3 linked regions of the Drosophila melanogaster genome follow. The protein of the gene in region 2 interacts with the protein of the main gene of each other region in a pairwise test. Each region holds a gene or a part of one and is shown on either strand. Other genes may lie near its edges.

Region 1 (7,043 bases), on a different chromosome or scaffold from region 2:
CTGATTAGCTGTCAATCGCAGCAAATCCGCATATGTTGCTAAGATCGGCAGCTAAAAAAGATTCGAGGTTTCCCTGTTGATCTTCTAAATTGGATTTCAAGCAGAAATCCAATTTAGATCCTGAATGGCAGTACGCAACAAGTCCTCTTTAAAAATACTTTATCTTGTATTCTCCGAGTCACATCCGGTGTCCCACAAAGGAGCCATCTTGGCCCGCTTCTTTTTACCTTATTCATTAACGACCTTTTCTTAATAATAAAACATTCGCGTGTACCTATGTACGCAGTCGATGGTAAATTATGCCTTCAGCACAAGGACACTTCGTGCCATTTGGACTTACAATCCGATCTAGACAGATTTCGAATATGGTGCCGTGATAACGTATTAGACTTAAATGGCTCCAAGTGTAACGTTATGACTTACGCTCTAAGTGGGCACCCACCCAAAGAGCACTCTTTGGAGAGAATAACACGGGTTGATGATCTTGGTGGTCTTCTGGACCCTAAACTAAAATTTTCTGACCATATTTCGTCTATTGTCAATAAGGCCAGGGGTGTGCATGGTTTTATAAAAAGGTGGTCTAAGGAATTTGATGATCCTTAATTGACTAAAACCTTATTTATTTCGTTAGTCCGTCCGATTCTCGAGTACGGATCACTATCACCTGTTTGGAGTCCACAATACGCAGTCCACTCGGACCGCATTGAATCGGTCCAAAAAAACTTATTACGTTTTGCTTGCGGCGCCTAAAGTGGGATGCAAACCGTATATTACCTCCTTATTCCAGTACACTACGTTAATTTAATTTACCGTCCCTAGCTAACCGTAGAACCAAAGACACTAGAATAACAAGATGCGTAACGCCATACGATTTTTTGGCACACGATTTTTTCGCCGTGGCTCTAGAGGTGGCTCCAGGCTCTCTCGAATTTTTGTTAGAGAGCGAGAGAGCGGAGAGTGCTACAGCGAACAGCTCTTTTCATCGCATAAAGTGATAGCAGACAACTGTATGTGTGCACACGTATGCTCGCTCATGCATTGTAAATTTCACAAAATATGCCCTTCACCTTAGAAGTTCTTTGACTTTAAATCTATATTATTTTTGATCAATTGGCACCATGCGAAAAATTCTTGTTTTGCATTGCCTTAACGTTATTATTATATGAAAATAGATTAGAAATAGCCAAATCTATGTACATATTATCACAAAAATAAATTTCAAAAATGACTTTATATAAGAATATTTGTCATTAGAGTATTCATCTTGCGGCGTGTGAAAAATTAATAAGGCAATGATTGTTGAGTGCTTGTGTCCGTACTTCGTGCTTCAAGATATGAACAAAGCAAAGACACTAGAATAATTCTAGTGTCTTTGATATGACTTTTGCAATAAACAGTTATCATATTTAATTATTTACTATATTTATTATGTCATTTGACTTTATATGATGTAACATTAACATTAAAAGTGTTTAAAAAAAAAAATATTTCGCTTTCTTAAAAAATTGTCAGATGAGAGACAAATTAGAATTAAACATAAATATAAATGTGTAAACGGTAGCTAATTCGAGCGGCGATTTTAACAAACAAATTTAAAAAGCTTTAAAATGATAATAGTCAGTTAAAAATTATTTTATTTTATCATATTGCTACGAAATTGGCAAAAACTACCCTAATATGTACAATGTAAATTCGTTTTTTCGATCAGAATTGATTTCGGTCCGAAAATCGTCTTCTAGCACAACACGCACACATATATGCGTTCTCGTCTCTTGTTTTTACTCACACAAGCAAGCAAATTCTATTTTTAGATTTCTTATGCTCTCAGCGGGAGCGAGCGGAAAGAGAGCAATTTTGGCCGTCACTAAAAAATTGGCTGCATAGTGCCAAACCAATGTATGGCCGCTACGCATCTTGTTATTCTAGTGTCTTTGGTAGAACTATGCTTGGAACAGTCTTTATTTGTAAGCTTATTCGTGGGGATGTTAAGAGTTCTGACTTGATTAGTCGGCTTAACTTCTCAGTTCGAAGTAGTTCTCAGTAGTAGTTCTCAGTTCCTTATTTCAGTTCTCAGTTCCTTATTTTAAATCATTGTAGATCTAACTATGAGTTGCGTGACCCTTACAGAGTATTATGTTCTGATTATAATAGACTTTATCCTAATATCTGTAATCTTGACTCTCTGCCGCTCACAAAGCAATTGATTTTACCTTTTTTTATTTTATGATTAGATCCTACTAACAGTAATATTTAATATAGTTATTTTATATTATATTCATTTCCTCGATCCTGTTCTCTTTTTTATATCGCGTCTATCCTCTCGCTAATCGAGGCGTACGATACACGGCAGCGCCCCTCGTTCGGTTGGTCGGGAGGTGTCGCCGTTGGACCCGTGCCAAAAAAAAAAAATATATAATAATAATATAAAATAATTGGGTCTGAATACGGATTATTTTTGTTTTGATTTAAATTCTTTTATTTATCGATATTTTGATGTAATATAGAATCGTTTTTTACCAATTTCTTTATTGTCATATGTATTTTAGTCAGTGTGAAAGGGTCTTATTTTGGCCATAATTAACTAATTATATTTTACGTTCAAGAAACCCTAATTACGATGAAATTAACATTTTGTTTTAAAGTTGCCCATATGTTGTATTCTTAGATATAATGATCTATTTAGCCATGTTGCGGAAAGGGCTCATTATCAGGAATTGAACGCTGGCATAGCATGTACAATCATTATTATAATTTTGGCAAACCTCAATAGAATAAACGTATTATGAAGTAGTTTTAGTAAATAATTAACATTGAAATATGATTTTTTTTTTATTTTTAAAAACTTATGGTTAGCAAAAAATTAAATTATTAATGATGAAGCGTTTAAAAATGTGACCTAACTATCGTTGATAATGATATTCTTCAGTTATCACTATTTCTTGTGTGCTATCGATGTTTCAAATAATAAATGCAACTCTGTTCGTATGAACAGAACACATTGCATGTGGAAATTATTAAAAAATAGTTTTTGAATGTAAAGATAAAGCTGGAATTACTGCTTCATTTTTATAAATAAATACATTTTTAAAATACACTTAAAGTGGAATTCTTAACATTTGTATTTTTTGTACATAATCACGTCGGATAGGCACATACAAACATTTGCTCAGGTAAATTGATGGTTAATAATGAGCACTGGGCAACAAATATTACATGATACTTTGCAAGTTTACTGTGCACAGTGAAGGGAAAAAAGATTTTACCACTAACATTCTGAAATGTGTCTTAACTTTTTAAAAATGATGTAAACGATGGAATTCGTGGCACGTTTTCACCATATGCACCATTGTGATTGTGAGAACGAAATCTCCAAAGTCACAACGGCAACGTCGGCAAATAAGTAAGGCTCCAGGATGGATTGGCAAATGTTTAATAGAAATTATCTCTGGGCTTCAGCTCTAGACTTAATAAATTACAAAATGTCTACTTTATATTTTTGAAACATTTGGGTGAAATCTTTTGTGATATTTAATGATTTTATACGTGTCAGTTCTTTTAATTTCAGAGACCTCTCTGGTAGCTGTATATCAATATATTTCCAGGTAAAATATGCAGAACTGAAACGTGGACAATTAATATTCATTAATATTCATTAAAGAATCAAATGATTGAATGACGTCGTATTTGTGGGTCCAAAATCACCACAGAAATCGTCTATGAAACGGTAAATCTAACCGTTTGGCGATTTCCTACAGAGCTAACTCTAGGAATACACATACGTAATGCAACAGGCTATACCAACTTTACCAACACAATCAGATATAGATAAAGCCATGCAGCCCCATTCAGCACAAAATATGGTAAGTCGATATAAAAATAACATCTCCAAAATTATTTACATATATACATTTTGACATTATTTGCTGTATTACTTTCCTTGCAATTGTTTTAAATTAGTTCGTTAAATAAATATGTTTTCCTAGTTCCGAAAAGAGCTAAAACCTATTTTTTATAAGTTTGCCTGCTGTAGTCAATGTAAACAATCTATTAAGATAGTATCACACTTCTCGTACAATAACAGCAAAGTTTAAAAAGAAAATGCTATTTTTGTGGAATTTTTTTATATGTTTGTTTTATAAATATTGCGGTTTGTATAAAAGGTATATAATTCAATTAAAAAATTTATAAAATATATGTTTGCGATTACAATTATTTAAGTTACTTACTAAATGAATTAAAAAATTAAAAATTTTTTTAACGAACTTGATTGAATACTAATAATTGTTCTAGTCCTGTAAAGCTACATAATTCATAAATGAAGCTCTTCCGGGCATGGTATGAAGTACTTTATTTAAAACCTAAACTATAAAAAACCGCGTTTTTCCAAACATACATAAATCATATAGTTTTTATCGGTAAAAATATTAATTAAAAAAATTTTTATTTCAACGGTGGCTCCAAAAATGGATGCTGAATCTGGTTTGTTGGTAACTGGCAGACACTCAGCAACGTAATTTTAAAGCTAAACTCAAAACGCATTGTGATTAATCTATCCAAGGGAAAAAAAATATTCGAAATGTATTTTATTATATTGATTTAAAGGATTAATGATTTCACATATCCAAGTCACAGAATCAGTCCATATATAATAGTCCCTAATATAATAGTTTCGTTGTTTTTATTCATAAAATGTCAACTTGATATTGTATTTTATAGTGATGTCCTTTTGAAGGGCTTAATGATATAAGGCATATATTTAAATCGCAGTAAAAGAGATATTTGGGACCATATAAATTATATATATATTCTTTATCAGTATCAGCAGCCGAGTAAAATAAATATAAAATAGTCCAGAAGATAATAGCTTCATACTTTTTATTTCTGAATGACAACTTGATATACACCGTTTTTTGACCGCGTATAACTTTGGTTTTAAGGCTAATTGTCAACATGCCGGCGACGACTAAGGAGCAACAGTCGGAAAATTAAATGAAGCTATAACAAAATAAATAATAGTTTAATTGTTTTTAATCATTTAGTGTTCTTATTTTGTACGCACAACTTTTTTTTTATTAATTAATTAATCTTGTAATCTATCATTTGAACTGTGTTAGACAGCTAAATCCCATAAACATTATTTGTCCATAGGGGACGTAGGACAAAAACTCTAAACCCTAATAAAATTATCAAACCCAATGCATGTTTTATATATATTTGTTAATTCTGGATTTATTTATCACAAAATTTGAGGCTGAAAAGTATTAAAAAATCTGCATAAGTATAATATTCAAATTTCACAGTGCAGAAGTGTAATACTACTCAAAATTCCGATTCTTGATTTCTCAGTTTCATTTTATTTTTAAATGGGTTTGTTTTGGTTTTTTTAATACTTTGTTTAAGTGCAATAAAGTAGGATTAACCAATTATCTAATAGTTTTTATAACTTATATATTCGGCAACATTTTTTTTTAATCATTGTTAAATCAATTTTACAGTCCGAAAATGTTCCCACTCTTGTGATCTGTTGTAGATTTTGCCAGCCAATAAAAAGACCAAAAAGTATGATCAACAGGTGCCAACTTCAAAGCCACAATCTCTTCATCAGCCTCTTCAACCGCAGCATAGCCATCCCACTGCTCAGCCTCAGTTTCAGATAAATAAGGCATACAATGTGGTCTCCATTCTTAAGGCATCAGCGCAGATCGCTCAACAGTCCCCACACTTGACGAATCAGCAGCATCCACCAATCCATCACCCACAGCAAACACAGCAGCATCAACAAAGCTATACAAACGTTGTAAATAGAAGCTTATCTGCGTCTGAACCAGTTAGAGCCCAGTCATCGGTTATCTGTAACGGTTCAAGCATATTGACAGTAAATAGTAGACAACTGAATTCGGGTGATATGAATTCGACTGCCATTTATAACATATCCAGTTACCGAAAATTAACTGGAAGTCTAGATGGAAATGTTTGCTTTCTAAATGTACAGGACATTAAACAAAATGGCAACATCAGTGGGTCAGTAGTATCAAATAAGTCCATCGTCGGAGTCGGAAGTGAAAAAAGTTCTTGTACTGGAGTCAGTATTAACAACCAAATAGTATTGCCTAATGCGCAAATAGGAACATCTATGGGAATAGCTGGAACAACTACAGCAGGCACAAGCTACATGCACGAAAAGAATATCGTTGGCGTTAGCGTCAATTGTGTTAATACTAGTAAAAAGTATGATTTCAATAACAGTAGTTTGTTATCAAATAATAGTTACCCGGCATCTACAGCAGAGGTAAACCTTGCAAATTCTGTGACTTTAGGAAGAGATTCATTTTAAATAATTCTTAACTTCATTTCACCTCCCTTTTTTTTAATAATTAGTTTTTAAATACTTTAGGTCCCAAAATTTATTAAATATCAATACGATTTTTTATTTAATGAGCAGTTTTTCTTATAATGTGAATATATGTATACTTTTATATTGTACTCACAGTGCCTAATGTAATGTAAAGAAACCAAGAAACCCGCTATAGTCGAGTTCCTTGACTAGCTAGTTGGAGGCGAAAAAAATGGGGAAGAAAAAATATAGAAATACAAATCATTTAAACATTTTGGAAGATTGGGGGCAGCCTTTTGCGCTTTAAGGGCGTTAGGACATGCCGATATAAATTGGCAAGACAAATCACCAAATAACCAACGGATTCTGCTTGCGTGATCTCAACTTTCTGACACAATTCCCAAAATCGTTACGTTCATAAGGCTAGATCGACTCGGCTAGTGAGGCTAATAATATATATATATATATATATATATATATACTCTATAGGGTCTGAAACGCTGCATTCTAACTGCTACTTTTCAAAGAATTTAGTATAACCTTTTCCTCTACTAGTATATATTAAATATTTATTCTGATTATTTAAGTTTTACATTCTTCACTGCATTATCTTTATAATAATAATAATAATAATACAATCCATTTCTTTCTCTTACTGATTATTAAATTCTTTTAAATACTTTCAGTATGTATCAACGGGAAACAACAA
Region 2 (5,792 bases):
GTTTAATTAAAATTGCAACAGGCTACGTAGTTCTCATTGCAGCAACAGGAGGATGGCAAAGAAAATCCGAAAATAAAAACACTGAAAAATATTCAAATATATGCTACATAGTTATTTGGAACTCTGATACTCATCGAAGATTTTTATTTATATTTTAAATATTTTATATAAATAATATTATTGTTGGGCGAAGAATGTACATATCAAGTTGATCGTGCTTTATCTATAACATTTTTTTTTTTACAGTGCAGCCAAGTCAGCGTTTTTCAATTAAGCTTGCATTTCATTTAATATAGGAGAGAAGTCTGCAACATTAGTGCTGCCCTTTGCCGGATATTCTCTGTTTGTGTTTGTCCAGTTATCCTCTATTTGCTTTTGCCGTTGCCAAAGGAAGGGGAATCCCCCCTGGCTGGCTTTTGTTTCTTTGGCGAAGAGAGAAAACCTTTTATAGCGGTTATTAAATTGCTCTTTAAGTGCTTGGCACGGGGCGTAAGCTATTTGCCCTATCCCAGGTTGTTACCTGTTACCTGTCCTCCGCATCAGTTGCTCCTCCAAATCCGCGTACGTGTTGGCATATCAATTCACATTACGGTCCGAATAACTGCATGCATTCATCTGCGCCAAGGAATCCCGTTCATATCAAGCAGGATTCGTCCGGCGGCGGGTAGGGAGAAGAAAGAGGGTGACATCGCCGGGAGGTTGGACAGGATGTCGGAGATACGCTGCCATTGGCACTGACATAACCCCATGTGCAGTGTATCACGTTCCAGTCATTTGGTGGCTGCCACTTCATAATTCAATAAAACAATAAAAGCAAAATCCTTACAAATTACAGCAATCAAATCATACGACTTACATGGGCATCAGTGATGACAATTCAGGGTCTGAATATTTTGCACTTTCAAATATCATTTAGTATGTGAGCAGAAATATTATACATATCATAGGTGCTGAGATTTCCAGGAATACCGGCAATACTATCTGAAATATTAGTTTTTGGAATATGGAATATATATATATTTGGAATATAGAATGAAAAACCTGCTAGGAGCACTAGCAGCACTTCCCTGGAAATGGAGGATATTGCGCTTCCCGAGCATATTTCCATAAATTGGTCACAATTTGCTATGCGCAGCAGCACGGAAGACAAAAGCCCTGAAAGGACGACGCACACACATAGGAAGGAATAAGCACTTGGCGCGCGATGGCAGCCGTTAAAGGATGGGCAGAGTCACCCAAAATTATGACGCCAAGGATAATCGTAGTGAAGCGAGTATGTGTTTCCCACTCCGCCGGGGAATACGTGAGGCGACTATAGTAGCCTCGGGATACCGGCACACGAATCGTGGCCAGAAAGTAGTTACTGTTTCTACTGCTCTACGCAATACTTTATTCATGGTACAACCGATATCTATCTCGAAAAGCATTGGTGCGCGTGGGATAAAATGTGAGTTTGACAAATGTATAAGGCTTATGTACTATCGTTGGAAATGTACTATGGCGCCCTTGGAAATTGGCCTACAATGTGTAGATGGCATTGACATTGGGTCCATGGTTCACCATGGCATCCTTGTGCACCTGGTACTGGATTTCCATAATGCCCAGATGCAGCAGCTCCTTTATCTGCCTGCCAATGGACAGGATAGCCTCTACATTGCGAGAGTCCTTCGTCCAAAGGGCTGTAAAGAAAGTTGACCTTAGAGATACCCCAATGTGAAATGCTGTCTTATACCCACATAGCTTATTAGCCTTGTTGCGCACATTGATGACCACTCCACATATCTCGTCCGAGTGCTGGAAGCACTCGCCAATCATGCACAAAAGCTAAAGGAGATAATGCTTTATAATGCATTGAGCTTATAATTATGGTGCAATCATGTGGCTTACCAAATCGTGCCACATCTTATCTATATAGGTCCTGGAGGCCTTGTCCAGGAGCAGTATCCAACGACCACCGTTCTTATTGGTGTCATCCTCCCACATGGGACTAAATATTTATATACATAAGACGAGGTTCAAAGAGCAGACTTTCAGAACTCACCGAATATTTTTCTTGAAGACCATGTAGTCATTGAATATCTTCAGATCCGATGGCGGCTTCACAAAGTAGTACACACTGTCGAAATAGAATAGGATATATATATATAGGATATATATATATATATATGAATCTGTGTCTGACCTGAAGAAGTCCTCAACGGTGTTGAAGCTGGTCACATCGACGAGCATTTCGGCCCAGCGCTTGGTACGATCGTTCTCCAAGTGCCACAAAGTCCAGGTATGCTCCAATGGATGCTTCATGGCCAGGTCGTAGTCGATGTTTTTCATCACCCGGTTCAATGAGGGCTGCAACTCCTCCTCATTGCCGCTCATCAGTTCCAAACCATCATAAACTGCCAGACCATGTGACCAGTCATTGGGATCTCCATACGGCACCCATGCTAAATATATTCGATTCGCATATCGAATGATGAATCGTAAAAAAAAAGATCTGCTGTCAGCTTACCAGTTTCCTCAGCATTCTGCAATCCGTTGCTTACGTAACCGGTGTACACCATTGTTTTTTATTGATTCAATGCGATAAACGAACCTTTTTTTGTTAGTTTTCTCGTTTTATTTTACTAAAAAAAACTCCTTGAAATGGTATATGTCTCGTGCAAAGTATAAGCGTTAATGAAAATGGCTTAACATGAGTGCACACTTTGACAAATCAAGATATGACAGCTAAAGCGTTGCCACCTTGGTTATGAAAAAGTATTGGAAAAGTCATGTGACCATCTCGTTGCGTAATATGCTTATTTTCAAAAGACTCTATCCCTTTATCGCCTTTATTATTTAAAATATTTTATGGTACATCCTGCCATTATTTCATCAATAAATCTTGTATCCAAGTCTTAAGCACCCCATTCAAACACTCCGATATTGCAGCTCCCATTCGCACATTTTGGTTGCAAAATCAAATTGAGTCGGTTAAGTACGAGCCCGAGGGTCTATCAATTGAAATGTCACGCTAATAAAATAAAATGCCACCGAGCATACGATAAATGCACGAAAATAATAAAATGTGACTCAAATGAGCGACGACGACAGCAACCACAGACACAGACACGGCCACACAAAGTTGGCAGCCGGAAAGACGGATACGATTGGGAATGGAACTGGAGCGAGTAGAGGAATCCCCCTTTCTTGTCTGCTCTGGCTGCTCCTTGTGCAACAGTTTGGCCTGCAGTCAATAATCGAAATCGACTTGGGCTTGTGGCAATAAAAATTTGTCTTCGCCGCTTAAGTTGTGCGCCTTGTTGCACACACAAGGTCCTGGGTCCCTCCGTGCCGGAGTCCTTTGGCAAAGCCCCACACCTCACCCCTGCCCGAACCCATCACCACGCCCCTGGCGGCGGTGCAGATAATAAAATATGTGAGTCGCTACGTGGCAGCTCCTTTGGCGTTGGCAAAGTAGCTTTGGGCCCTTGTAATGTGCACCATTTGTTGCGCGGCTGGTGGTGCGGTGGCACCAACTTGCACTCCAACCAAGATGCTCCGCACCAGCTCCATCTCCGTTTCCATCTCCATCTGCTGGATGCACGGGTGAGTTATGCCGGCCAAGTTTGGAACAAAAGTGTTGGCACTGCTCCTTGTTCTTGGTTCTCGCAGCCAAATAAGTTGCCAGCCCCAATTTACTTAAAAATTCTATTTATTTTTGCTTTTAAGCAGCTTTGGCGGCTGCTCCAGCTCGTATTTCTGGGATTTTTTGAGGAAAAAACTGCTCCAAATTTGTTTCGTTAATTGGGAGAATAAGTTAAAACAAGGAATTGTAAAATTTTAGAAAGTGTTTTAATATCTAGACTATCTTAACTTAAAGTACATTTTATAAGCTCGTATCGCACGTTATTCCCTTCCTCTCTTCACTTAAACAATAGATAAAACTTTTTCAGCTACTGCTGGTTTTTAATATTTATATTTTTTGACATGCCTGTTTATTCCTTGAATCCCATAACTAAAAATTACCTGCTCCAAATGGAGTTGGTAGCCCATAAATTCCCGAGAGGGAAAACTTTAGTTCCAACTCTTTTTTTGGGGCTTCTCCCCCATTCGAGTTAAGTTGCCGGCAAACGCTTAGCTATGCTTTGTTAGATTTGACTTTGTGCTCCGCTCTTCTCAGGTGGCACTTTGGCGTATACGCAATATTTTACAGCTTTTTGCACTTTGCTGGCTGAGCTGAAAATACATGGTCAGTAAATCTTTTAAAATATTGTAATGTTGAGGGAGTCTATGGGGGGATGGCTCCCGCACCAGCTTAAGCGATTTGAGTGCCGAAGCAGTAAAAACGCCCACAAACTGCCGGGGAAAACGAAGGGGAAAAGCGCGTAAATGGGGCAAACTACAAGAAGAAGCCAAGGATCCAAGGACTCAAGTATCCAAGAGCTAGGACCTCATCTTGAGGCAGTTCTGTGCAGACAAGCGCATGCAAGAAATGAAAATGATTTGAGGCATTATGTTCGCTCCGGTTTTACCCCGCCATTTCTCGTTTCGCTTCCGTTCGGCTGTCTTTTCTTCTTTTTTTTTATTTGTTTTTTTTTTTTGGCTACAAAATTGCTTTGCTGCTGCTTCATGTTGATTGTAAAAGATTTCAGTGCTGAAAGCACAAAGCATGCGATGATGTACGGAACGACGCACGTCGTACATTTTGCACCTTGAAGTGGCAAGCGGAGGAGATGCTCTCCTCCACTCCCGCTTCTCCGCCCCATCCACTGCGGGCAAAGACAGCCACATAAAACAATAAAAAGCAGTGGTAAGTGTCGGGGATGGGTAGCGACAACACATCCTGCACATCCAGCACCTTAAGGCCAAGCCAACTGACAGCAGCTTCCGGCAGCCCCCAGTCCGTCTGCTCCATCTGGCCCATTTGCTTCAGCTGCCACGCCCCCAGTTGTCGTTTGGCCCTCTCACCTGGACAAAAAGATACAGGTGTACGAGGCTTAAGTATTGCCACACTAGAAGTGAAAATTTTAGTGGCTCTAGAAAATAGTTATTGATTATTATGCCAAATCATTTTCATGTTTGTTTGACAGAATAATTTCTTTACATTTGACCCAATTGTATTATAAATCATTAAATTATTATTTTTAAAATTTGATAATGTGTTGTGCTATCTATTTATTATGGTTGGATGTAAATATTATTGAACATGTAATTTTTATTTTATTTTTTAAATATTATATTTGATCAATATAATATGAAATATTAATATATTTGATTAATATATTGATTATCAAAATTATCCAGCTGAGCCTCTCCTATTATTTTGCCCATGGGTGTCCGTATATGTGCCTCTTTGCAGTGCTAAATACTTTGGACCAAGACGACGCCTCTGGGCGCTGGCTACCCCGACTTGGAGCTATAGCTTCTATATCTTTGAAGCCGCTGCTCGAGGCCAGGTGAAAGTCATTTCACGCTGTGTGTAGCGCAAAAGATTAAAATAATAGCAGCGCGTAAATTAAACAGTCCGTTGGAGCCGAAGCGTAGGTGCCAGATGGGGGATTTTAAAGGGCAATGGAAAAAGGATGCGGGGACATGGCAATGCTGAGCCATTGAAGTGGCAGCCATGGCCACCTCAACCCAACCCACCTCATTGCATCCCTTTGTTTAGGGCTGCGGTCTGCGCTAAGACGCTTACCTGGCGCTCCCCCCGCCACAGCCGCATCCTGTCCAAAACTCCGCACCCGACCTCCTGTCCTCCAGGACATTGCCAGCATTGCGTTGTCAGCACTTCATTTTGATCCAACATGCCGCGT
Region 3 (9,422 bases), on a different chromosome or scaffold from region 2:
GCTGTTTACCAAAATCGACGGAAAAGAAGAAGAACATAGGTTATGAAAACACGAGCCGCTCCAAAATGTTGAGAAAATCGTTTGCCAACCGTAAGTAATCAATTAAAACATCAAGGAAACCAAATTATACATGCTTTCCCTTGGTAGTACCCCGCTTTGGTCAGATGTGCGGTCTGCCACGACGCCTGCAGAGCACACAGCCGGAGCAATCGGTGGAAACGGAACCGGAGGACATCGCCCTGGTGGAACAGCGGATTCTGAAGCATCCGGACTACTTCCAAGTGCACAACCTGTTCACCGTGCGCGACCTCTTCAATGCCCGAGTGCACTATGGCCACAAGGAGGGCTCCCTGGACGACCGAATGCGTCCGTACTTGTTCGGCAGTCGATTAGGTCATCTGATCTTCGATCTGGACAAGACGGCATCACATCTGCGCGATGCCCTCAACTTTGCCGCACACATTGCCTTCCGAGATGGCATCATTCTGTTCTTCAACCGCAACGCCATGAACTCACATCTCGTGGAGCGAAAGGCCCAGGAGGCCGGTGAATTCTCGCACACTCGCTTTTGGCGCGGCGGCATCTTTACCAATGCCAATGTGCAATTCGATGCGGTCACCAGGCTGCCCGATCTTTGCATTTTCCTCAACACTCAAAACAACGTTATGGCTCAGCACACGGCGGTTCGGGACGCCGCCAAAATGGCCATACCAACGATTGGCATAGTGGACAGCAATTGCAATCCCAACCTGATCACCTATCCGGTGCCCGGCAACGATGACTCGCCGGCCGCAGTGGAGCTCTATTGCAACCTCTTCAAGGAAGCCATACTGCGTGGCAAGCGGGAACGACGCCAACTCCTTGGCCTTCCGCCTCTGGACGAATCCCAGCCGCGGCGCAGTCGCAAAACTAAGTAATAGCCAAGTAGTAGTGTCAAGTTGATTTTGTTACATTTATCTTAATACAAATGCCAATGGCCGTCAATCCACGATGAAGAAGAAATTGCTAAATATGGTTGCAAAATTGCAGAACTTTGTGCATGTGCCATGCTATTTGATAGTGTTTAAGAAAACCCACGACCTGGGTTAGTTTCGGATAGCTATTCTAGGGCGGCAGCAGAGTGGCACCCTTGACAAAGTTGTTGCTGTAGTGGCTGAAATACGAGGGATTGGAGTTGGACCCCGTGTTGTTGGAACTTCCAGAGGGCCAGTAGTTGGTAATCTGTGGTGGGGTGTCAGGTGGCGGCGGAGGCGGCGCTGAGGTACCAATGATGGAGAGATCCGTACCGCCTTTGATGGCACGGCCGGGACCGAAGAACGTATCCATTTGCTGCTTCTTGAAATCATGCATCGACGCAAAACCATTCGGCGGCCTCTCCTTGGACATGTCCCACGAGCCGATGCTGGATGACTTGCGCACGAACACTTGGCCCTTTTCATTCTTGTCCTGCTCCACCCAGCGCTCTGCATGCTTCACCGTCAGCATCGCCTTGTGCGCAACTATATACTCCTCGGCCTTCTGTAGTCGTTCCAGTTGCTGCTCGTCCAGCTGGTCGCGCGGCAGCTTCCCCAAACGCTGCACCGTTCGCTTCCAGTTGTGGAACTCACGGTTTTTAAAGGGCTTCATGGCCATACGGTACTCCTTCCACTGGCGCTGGCGCTCCTCCTTCGTACCAGGCGGTGCATCCTCGAGCGGCGGTGGTGCCTCTGGCTTCTGTATCCATTGGCCATTGACCTGGACAAATGTGCCGCAGCGCTTGGGCTTCTTGGAGGGCTGCGCTTCCCCGTTTGACGGCGAATTGTTGCCATTGCTTGGCGGTGGGGGCGGAGGCATAAGCCTCGTATCTTTGTCACTGTTGCCGCGATGGTTTACCTTGAATTTCTTGTTATTCTGGTTTGGATTGCTGCGATTGTTTTGTGCTCCCTGCTCCTTGGGTACCAGATTCCACAAGCTGGGGCACTTGGGCATGGGCGGTTGGATTGGTGGTGGTCTATGTTGTGGCGACATCATGTCCTCCCAGAACGGAGGCGGCTGCAGAGGTCGGTGATTGTGATTCCGGCGGGGCCCAGAACCACGTGGTCCTCCAAAGCCCACTGGACCACCGGGGCCCATACTGCTCATGGGACCACAGGGACCCATATTGCTTATGGGACCGCGAGGTCCTCCTGGTCCCATTGGCCCCATGGGGGGACCGCATTGTCCGGGTCCAGGCCCAAAATTGCCTCCAAAGCCCATGTTCATCAGCTGCATAGGAAGTGGAGGCGGTCGATTCATCGGAGGATAGTTCCTGTCCTGGTAGCTTTGCGGACCTCCGCCTCCATGAAAGGCATTGTTGCTATTCGAAGACCAATGTTTACGTCCGTTGCCGTTGTTGTTATTGTTGTTGTTGTTACTATTGTTATTGTTGCTCCGTTGTAGTCCGCTTTTGGTATCCGGTTTCAGTGCATCCTTGCATTTCTTCCAATCTGCAAACGACATTTTCAGCGGCTTAGTTTCAGGCTCATCTTTGCCGGACTCCGGAACGACTTCCTTGGAATCCTCTGGTGCCGCCTCCACGTCCCCGTTTTCAGACATCTCGCACCTTAGAGAGTGGGAATACACTTTATAAATATATCAACTTAATTTTATTTGAGTTTTGCTTAGCGATGGCAAACAAAAATTTCAATAACAACAAATTGAAGGAACAGCCGATGTTTTCTATCGATATTTTCGTGCTTAAAATTTTAGGGAGTTTCCCCTGAAGTATTTTCTTAAGAGTCCTGTTGTTCTTAAAAAAGAACAGTAGTTTCCAAATGTATTCTCTAAACTTTCCGCTATACCAGTAAATCTTCATTTGTTAACTAGTAAGCGATATATTAATGCCCAACGTAATATAATATATATTTAACATTTTCGATCCCATGCAGACACAACCGGCGGGGAATAGTAATTGCCCAGCGTCCAGATACCATAGTGAATTGTTGGTTATCAGCGATAAGTGTCTGATTTCGTAACATTTATTTCATATTTAAATTTAAATTTTAATACGAACACATCTGTGATGCGAAATTGATGTGAGCTTTTTGACTGCGCTTTACGTGAACTGGTCTGGATAGCTGTGGCGCATCTCTAAAATCTAACGTGTTCGATCAGGTGGCAACACCCACCGTAAAAAACGATTTTAGTCGCAGTCGCAGAGATTTTGGTTTTGGTAAGCTCTAGTAATTTATTGGAAATTACGATCCAAAATACACCGTTTTAAGAGACGTTTCAATCGGCCATTAAAGTAAATAATAAGCGCGACGAAGACTAAACATCAAAAGTGTTGAAACTAGAACGAGAGTGCAAAGTCGGTCGCCAGCAAAACGCGTAGTTTGCTTATTTTAACGAAAAGCGGCCAGTGCCATTAAAATATTACTCAATTTCACAGAGAATTTTGGCCGAAAACGGATGCAATATATGGATATATAGACCCTGTTTCCTGAAAGTTAACTTCCTTTTTGTTCTACGCCCAACACGGTCGTCAACTGCGCTGCCATCGTCGACGTCGGCAGAGGCCATTCTTGTTGTTGCTATTCTCGACATATGATTCAATAGAGCGATCGCCTCTCTCTTTCTCCCTCCCACGGACAATTTCAGTTTTTTGTAATATTTCTGTTAGCTGTGTTTTAGTTGCCCATGTTTGTTTGTTCTTGTTGTTGTTGCTGCTGCTGCTGTTGCTGCAGCGGCAGTAAGTGATATTTAAAAAAGAAATGAGTTGTTCGCATGGAGCGAAAGTCGAACTGAAATAACACAAATGGTCGTCCGTTTGTCGTTCCCATTCGATATATGCCAACAATTTTCATCAATTATTTACATATTTTGCTTTTGGAACTTCGCACCGATTAACTGAGCAGAAGCCAGAAGCTCAGAAGGCGCCAATGGGTTAATTTGGCCACTAAACTATAGATAAATCGCGGTGTTATCAGCTAAAGCCGCTTATCAAACGTGCACATCGTTAAGATATACGAGAGCTTTGCGTCGCAATATTCGAGATTCGGTCGGAAACGAGGCCAATCTCCATATCCTAAGAAACCTTTTGGTTGTCCATGCTCTCGGCCATTACTCCCAAGTTCTAATGCAATATAGTCGGCTTTGATCATCCTAGCAGCTGAAAGCATGTATCCAAATAGTACAATAGTTTTAATGTAAACAATACATTTGATCGATAACTAACCTTTCTTGTGTTTACAGGGGGAGGTGCGGAAACAGCTTCTACGATTCATTTTTGATCAATTCTTCAACAACATTTAAACGAACGAATAAGTTAGCAGACCATATAGACTGAAATCAGCAGATCCGGACACCAGGCGGGACAACCTTAAGACTTCTTCACGAGACGATATCGAATCCAACGAATCCCGAGAATGGCTCACACACACCTGGGACGCGCCGTGAAAAACATTGAGGCGCCACGCCCGTTGAAGACACAATCGCGATCGTCGTTGAAGAACAGCTACCTGGTGATCGAGGAGCTAATCCAGTTGATAGACAACGTGACCGTCGGTCTTCAGTCGTGCAACACCACGCCGGAATCGATCACGCTGCTCCTGCACAACCTCCGGGTGCATGGACCGCAACTGGAGGCGGTGTCCAAGGATACACTGGACCGGGCCTTCGTCGTTTTCCGCAACGCTTCGCAGGACGAACGGCTGAATATAACGACGCGCCTCAAGCTGCTCGAACTCATCGAGCTGCGCGCCAAGAGCTGGGACAATGACGACACAATCGCGTACTACAAGTCCAAGCAGCAGATCTCCAACGTGGAGGTGAGTAGAGTACATAGAATCGATCTCACTTTGGAAAACGATCAAATATGTATCGTTGCTTTGCAGCTGCCTTCGGAATACCAGTACGATGCCGGCGTGCAGCCTGGCGCCTTCAGCACCTCCCCCACATTCGGCGTCAGCGGCGGTGTTGGTGGCGTTAACGATGGAGCCGCAGCCGCCGCTGCCGCCGTCTTCAATGCAGCATCTGCAGCTGCAGCCGCCCAAGCTGCGGCCATTGCGGCCGTGGGCACATCCAACCAGCAGCACATGCTGCTGCCGCCCGGTGAGGTCATTCGTAATTCGGGCAAGTTCCCCAAACCGACCAAGATTCCTGGCAAGACGTACTGCAAGGACGAGGTCGTGATTCGCAATGCTGACTCCGGCAAAGGTAAGTTTTTCAATCAGCTGAGGAGTGTTCTGGAGCACACAGATCTACAGAAATGGTTTTCAATAATGTATTCCTCCATTCCCGTGGCCAAAAAGTAATGGGCATCAAGGGGCGTCGCGTGCACATGATCGAGGAGCTAAGCGAAACCATTATATCGTTTCAAAGAGGTAACTCCAGAGAGCTGGTTTTAATTGTGATCCTCACCGCACCCCCATTTCATTTGGCACGCTTATTTAAATCAATTAATGCCCGGTGGCTTCTACAAAATTTACTAATAGAAATTATAAATACGCATGTTCCAGATTTTGTCCATTCAACGACACCACATTAAGCCAAAATTGATCGTTAAAGGCATTTTGAAATCACATATTTTCATACTGTATATATGCATTTTGTTTTTAAATGTTTTCGCATCCCAATTATTTTTCATAAATATAAATGCTTTTTTCGAGAACAATTATGAATGCCTTGTTTTCATTAGTCAACCCGGGTGCCAAGGAGCGTTTGGTGCAGATTACTGGTCCAGCTGAGGATAAAATTAAGTGAGTAAAGTAAATAAATTAAAGCTAATTTACCTTTATGTCAAAATGTTTTAATTCTACGACAGCTATGCCAAACAACTTATGGAGGACACCATTCGTCGGAACGCCTCGCCGGTGCGCCTGGAACCCGCTCCTGCCGTTGGAGGATCCTGCTCCTCGCTTAACTCGTCCAACTCGGACGACGCCATTGTGCAACCAAGAACGCCAACCGGAAGCAGTTTGGCCAACCGGCTAAGCTTTAACTCGGCCCAAAACTTCATGACCGCCACAGCTGCTGCACAGCAGATCTCGCAGCAGATGCACCACCAAACGCATCACCTGCAGCACCAACAGCAGCAGCAGGTCGCCGCAGTAGCCGCCGCAGCAGCAGCGGCGGCACATGCTCAGGCGACAGCCGCTGCCGGTAAAGTCTTGCGTCCCAATCAACAGCTGCTAATGCACTCATATTCCACAAACGATGCTTCCGTAGGTGAATACAAGTTCACGGTCAACGTGGGCCAGCACCTGATCAAGATCACCGGCGACTGCTGCGAACTAGTGCGCGTGAGTAATGTTGAAGTTTTCAATTGTGAAATTTGTTAAATCCCCTGCGATTTCAAGGTGGCCAAACTCGTGCTCGATGACTATTTTAGCAGCTCGGAGTTTCTGGCATCCATTGAGGCTGGCGCCGCCTTCGACGGCACTTCGCTGGTGACCACGCCATCGACTCCGCTTCCCGGAGCCGGGCCGCCGCAATTTTGGCTGCCCGGCACGGACAGTGGCATTGGACTGAATTGCGTTGTTTCCTCGTCAGCGAACAACAATGGTGAAGGCGACGACGAGGTGTTCGCTGAGCCCAGCAATGGAGGATCATCGACTAGCAATCAGAATGGACTGGCCAGATCGCGTCGCAGCCACTTTTCGCGCAAGGAGTCCACGCCGGAGACCAAGGGCGCTCGGGAAAAGGGTGACTTGGACGATTTGGCAGGCACCAATTCCTTGAAAAGCAATGCATGTAAGATTACAATCCTTTTATGCTTAACCAAGTCTTTGATGCTTAAACTTAAATTACAGCTCGCGTTTCTTACGATATTGAACACTTGCTCTACTACTCCATGAGTCCGCACTCGTGGACCCTGCCCACCGACTGGCAAAAGATGCAGGAGACAGCGCCCTCGATTCTGCGCAACAAGGTAATTTCGCCGTTCGATGGCTCACTTGGCCGTACGGCTTACTCTTCGAACATCCCCGATGCTATCATCGCCAGTGCACCTAACTCATCAGTAATAACACATCCGTGGGCTTTAAATGCAATAACCTCCTCCCCGAACACAAATATCATCAGCACCGCCGTTGGACTAGCTGCTGTCGATGCGTCGGCAGACAACAATCCCCTAACCGTCACTAACAAGCAATCAAAAGGGATCTTCGCCGAACGCGAGAACCGTCGCCTTCCCAAAACATCGGCCGTGTCCGATCGAAACCTGTATAACAAGCAATTGCAAATCATAACTAATACTGTGGGTCAATCGGTGGCAACACAAGGAAAGCATCGCCAGTCTAGCTATCAAACATCACAAGTGAAGGCAATTTTTCAACGCTACTGCGAGGACGATGAGTTTTCATTGGCACTGTGCGAAACAGAATCGAATAATAACCGCGTTTATGTGTAATTTCATTTAATTTCATTTAATTTAATTTAATTTTACGTAGCCGGAATACGTATTATTGAATCTCAGTCACAGATAGGCTTTTCTTTTCATGTCAGTATTTTTGCTGTTTTAATTTTATATAACTTATCATTAAGAAAAGGTGAAGCGTGAAGAACTTGATAATGAATCAAGTCAATACATCATTATCATTATCATCATCCAGTCATTAGATTAACGACATACCATCGAAACCAAACCGATCGCTAGTCTTAGAGGTAACAATACATATAATGCATTGAAATTAAAATGTAACTATAGGGAGAATCTGTGTTTTGGCTGTGAAACAGATTAAGTCGTCGCTAAGGATAAGCTGGAAAGGCGGTTGAAACCGCTTAACCGCTAACAAACAAACATTCTCGAATTCAAACCAACATTTACAAATCTGTAATCAATACGATTTATATTAACTAATAAACAGGACTTTCAAAGTCCGTAACAAAGCTTGGCTGGGTTTAACTTACACCACCACACACCCCACACATTGTAAATTATAAATTGTAACTTGTGTTTTACCACCGAAGCATCATAACATCACCACCTAACCACCACTCCAGATGGCTAACTTAGTTACTAAACTGTTCCGTATGTATATATGTTCGTTCATCCCTGGATAGCTTGCGTGTCAATGTTACTTTGAAATCAGATATTAAACCATTTCTTTGTTCGACAACAGGATCTGCAGGATGAGAGCCAGCGCTTCGATGGTGATAAGTATCTGGCCAGCATTAAGACGGCCGCCAAGCGAGACATTGTGGCTGCCGATGAGGTCGAGACTCTGGACGAATAAAGCCATCAATCGAGCGGCTCGAACTGACAATATAGAGTGTCCCGGGGTGAAGTGCCTGCTCCCAGACGGAGCTGCAGTATGCTTCAATGCTTTTGGCCATGGCCACATCTAACAATCGCAAACTCAAAACGACCAAAACAAAACAAACAAAAAAAAAAGAATATTGAAAAATATGCAAACTAACCCTAGAAATTACCAACGAAATAATCAAAAATTTCAAAATAACTAGAAAATTCAACGAAGCTCTTAGTTAAGTTCAATCGAAATGGGAATCCGGAATATTCCCAATATATACTAATTCAAAAAATGCAGCTAAATGAAAAGCCTCGAAGCGGCCCTAACTTGATAATATGGCCCAAATGAAATGGAATGCATTTTTAGTAACTCAATAGAGAATGACACGTTTTTAGTTGGAAATTTGTTTCTCATCCTTACGCAAACTTTGTTTCTCCCAACCAAATAATTCTCAAAACGGAAATGGAAATGTATTAATTCATCTATGTGTTTTATTATTATTATTTTGTAATTCTCTTGTGACTTGCGCTGAATGTCACTTTTCAAGATTTGAAATTGTATTTTGTTTTCTCTAGTCTATGCATCATAGAAATTTGTATACTATTTTGTTAAATTCACACCAAATTCTTTGAATTTCTGTTTATGCTTTAGTTAATTTATTTTATTTATTTTGTACAAATACAAATCATATATTCTTCAAAAAGATATTTGCAAGGAAATAAAATGGAATCAAGATCAAAACACACCTTCTTTCGCCCAAAACTCCAAATCTTTGGTTATTTAATTTGGTTAATGTACATTTACATAAATTTATTTATCACACACAATGGAACATAAATATAACAATAGTTTAAAGTTTGATATGTATCATCATAGAACGTTGGCTAGGAGGAGTAAAATAGATCGAATGACCACGTCGATTGTGCGGCTAGCAGAATGTGCTCCGAGTTGCATAACAAGTCAAGTGTAGTGGAAATGGCATTAGCATCGCAATTGGTTATTGGTTAGTAACAAACAGAATCGATCTATTGCACATAGTTGCCCAATAAAGGCCGCCTGTTCATGTGGCGGCACTGCATCGCGCTTTTGGCATGTACACAAAGCAAATATACATTTAGAAAAAGAACGTTAATTAGTCAGGGGCTGAAGTGGAGAAGTGTCATCATCGGATATGGGATTAGAACACAACAGCAAGACATCAATAGCATGCTC

What was found. The genes of interacting proteins can lie anywhere in the genome.
Region 1: the proteins of eIF4E3 (region 2) and eIF4G1 interact in a two-hybrid assay, tested with the Drosophila melanogaster proteins (one study listed by BioGRID).
Region 3: the proteins of eIF4E3 (region 2) and mxt interact in a two-hybrid assay, tested with the Drosophila melanogaster proteins (2 studies listed by BioGRID).

What each region holds. Positions count from the first base shown.
Region 1 is NC_004353.4:926,639-933,681, reverse strand, and holds the start of eIF4G1 (eukaryotic translation initiation factor 4G1), read left to right. Parts: upstream 1-2,966; 5' UTR 2,967-3,170; exon of another isoform or gene 3,171-3,400; intron 3,401-3,550; 5' UTR 3,551-3,602; intron 3,603-3,658; 5' UTR 3,659-3,782; coding exon 3,783-3,860; intron 3,861-5,530; coding exon 5,531-6,289; intron 6,290-7,020; coding exon 7,021-7,043.
Region 2 is NT_037436.4:8,226,148-8,231,939, reverse strand, and holds eIF4E3 (eukaryotic translation initiation factor 4E3), read right to left. Parts: upstream 2,717-5,792; 5' UTR 2,559-2,716; coding exon 2,507-2,558; intron 2,442-2,506; coding exon 2,183-2,441; intron 2,117-2,182; coding exon 2,042-2,116; intron 1,988-2,041; coding exon 1,888-1,987; intron 1,825-1,887; coding exon 1,737-1,824; intron 1,680-1,736; coding exon 1,519-1,679; 3' UTR 1,372-1,518; downstream 1-1,371.
Region 3 is NT_033779.5:4,841,007-4,850,428, reverse strand, and holds mxt (mextli), read left to right. Parts: upstream 1-3,133; 5' UTR 3,134-3,190; exon of another isoform or gene 3,191-3,265; intron 3,266-3,664; exon of another isoform or gene 3,665-3,713; intron 3,714-4,078; exon of another isoform or gene 4,079-4,150; intron 4,151-4,212; 5' UTR 4,213-4,385; coding exon 4,386-4,787; intron 4,788-4,853; coding exon 4,854-5,175; intron 5,176-5,270; coding exon 5,271-5,342; intron 5,343-5,656; coding exon 5,657-5,717; intron 5,718-5,782; coding exon 5,783-6,260; intron 6,261-6,317; coding exon 6,318-6,711; intron 6,712-6,770; coding exon 6,771-7,369; 3' UTR 7,370-7,845; downstream 7,846-9,422. Other genes in the region: mRpS2 (mitochondrial ribosomal protein S2), read left to right, coding at 66-90, 148-917; CG11927 (uncharacterized protein), read right to left, coding at 1,105-2,574; CG12194 (uncharacterized protein), read right to left, coding at 9,236-9,293. UniProt on the Drosophila melanogaster protein: Plays a role in promoting translation.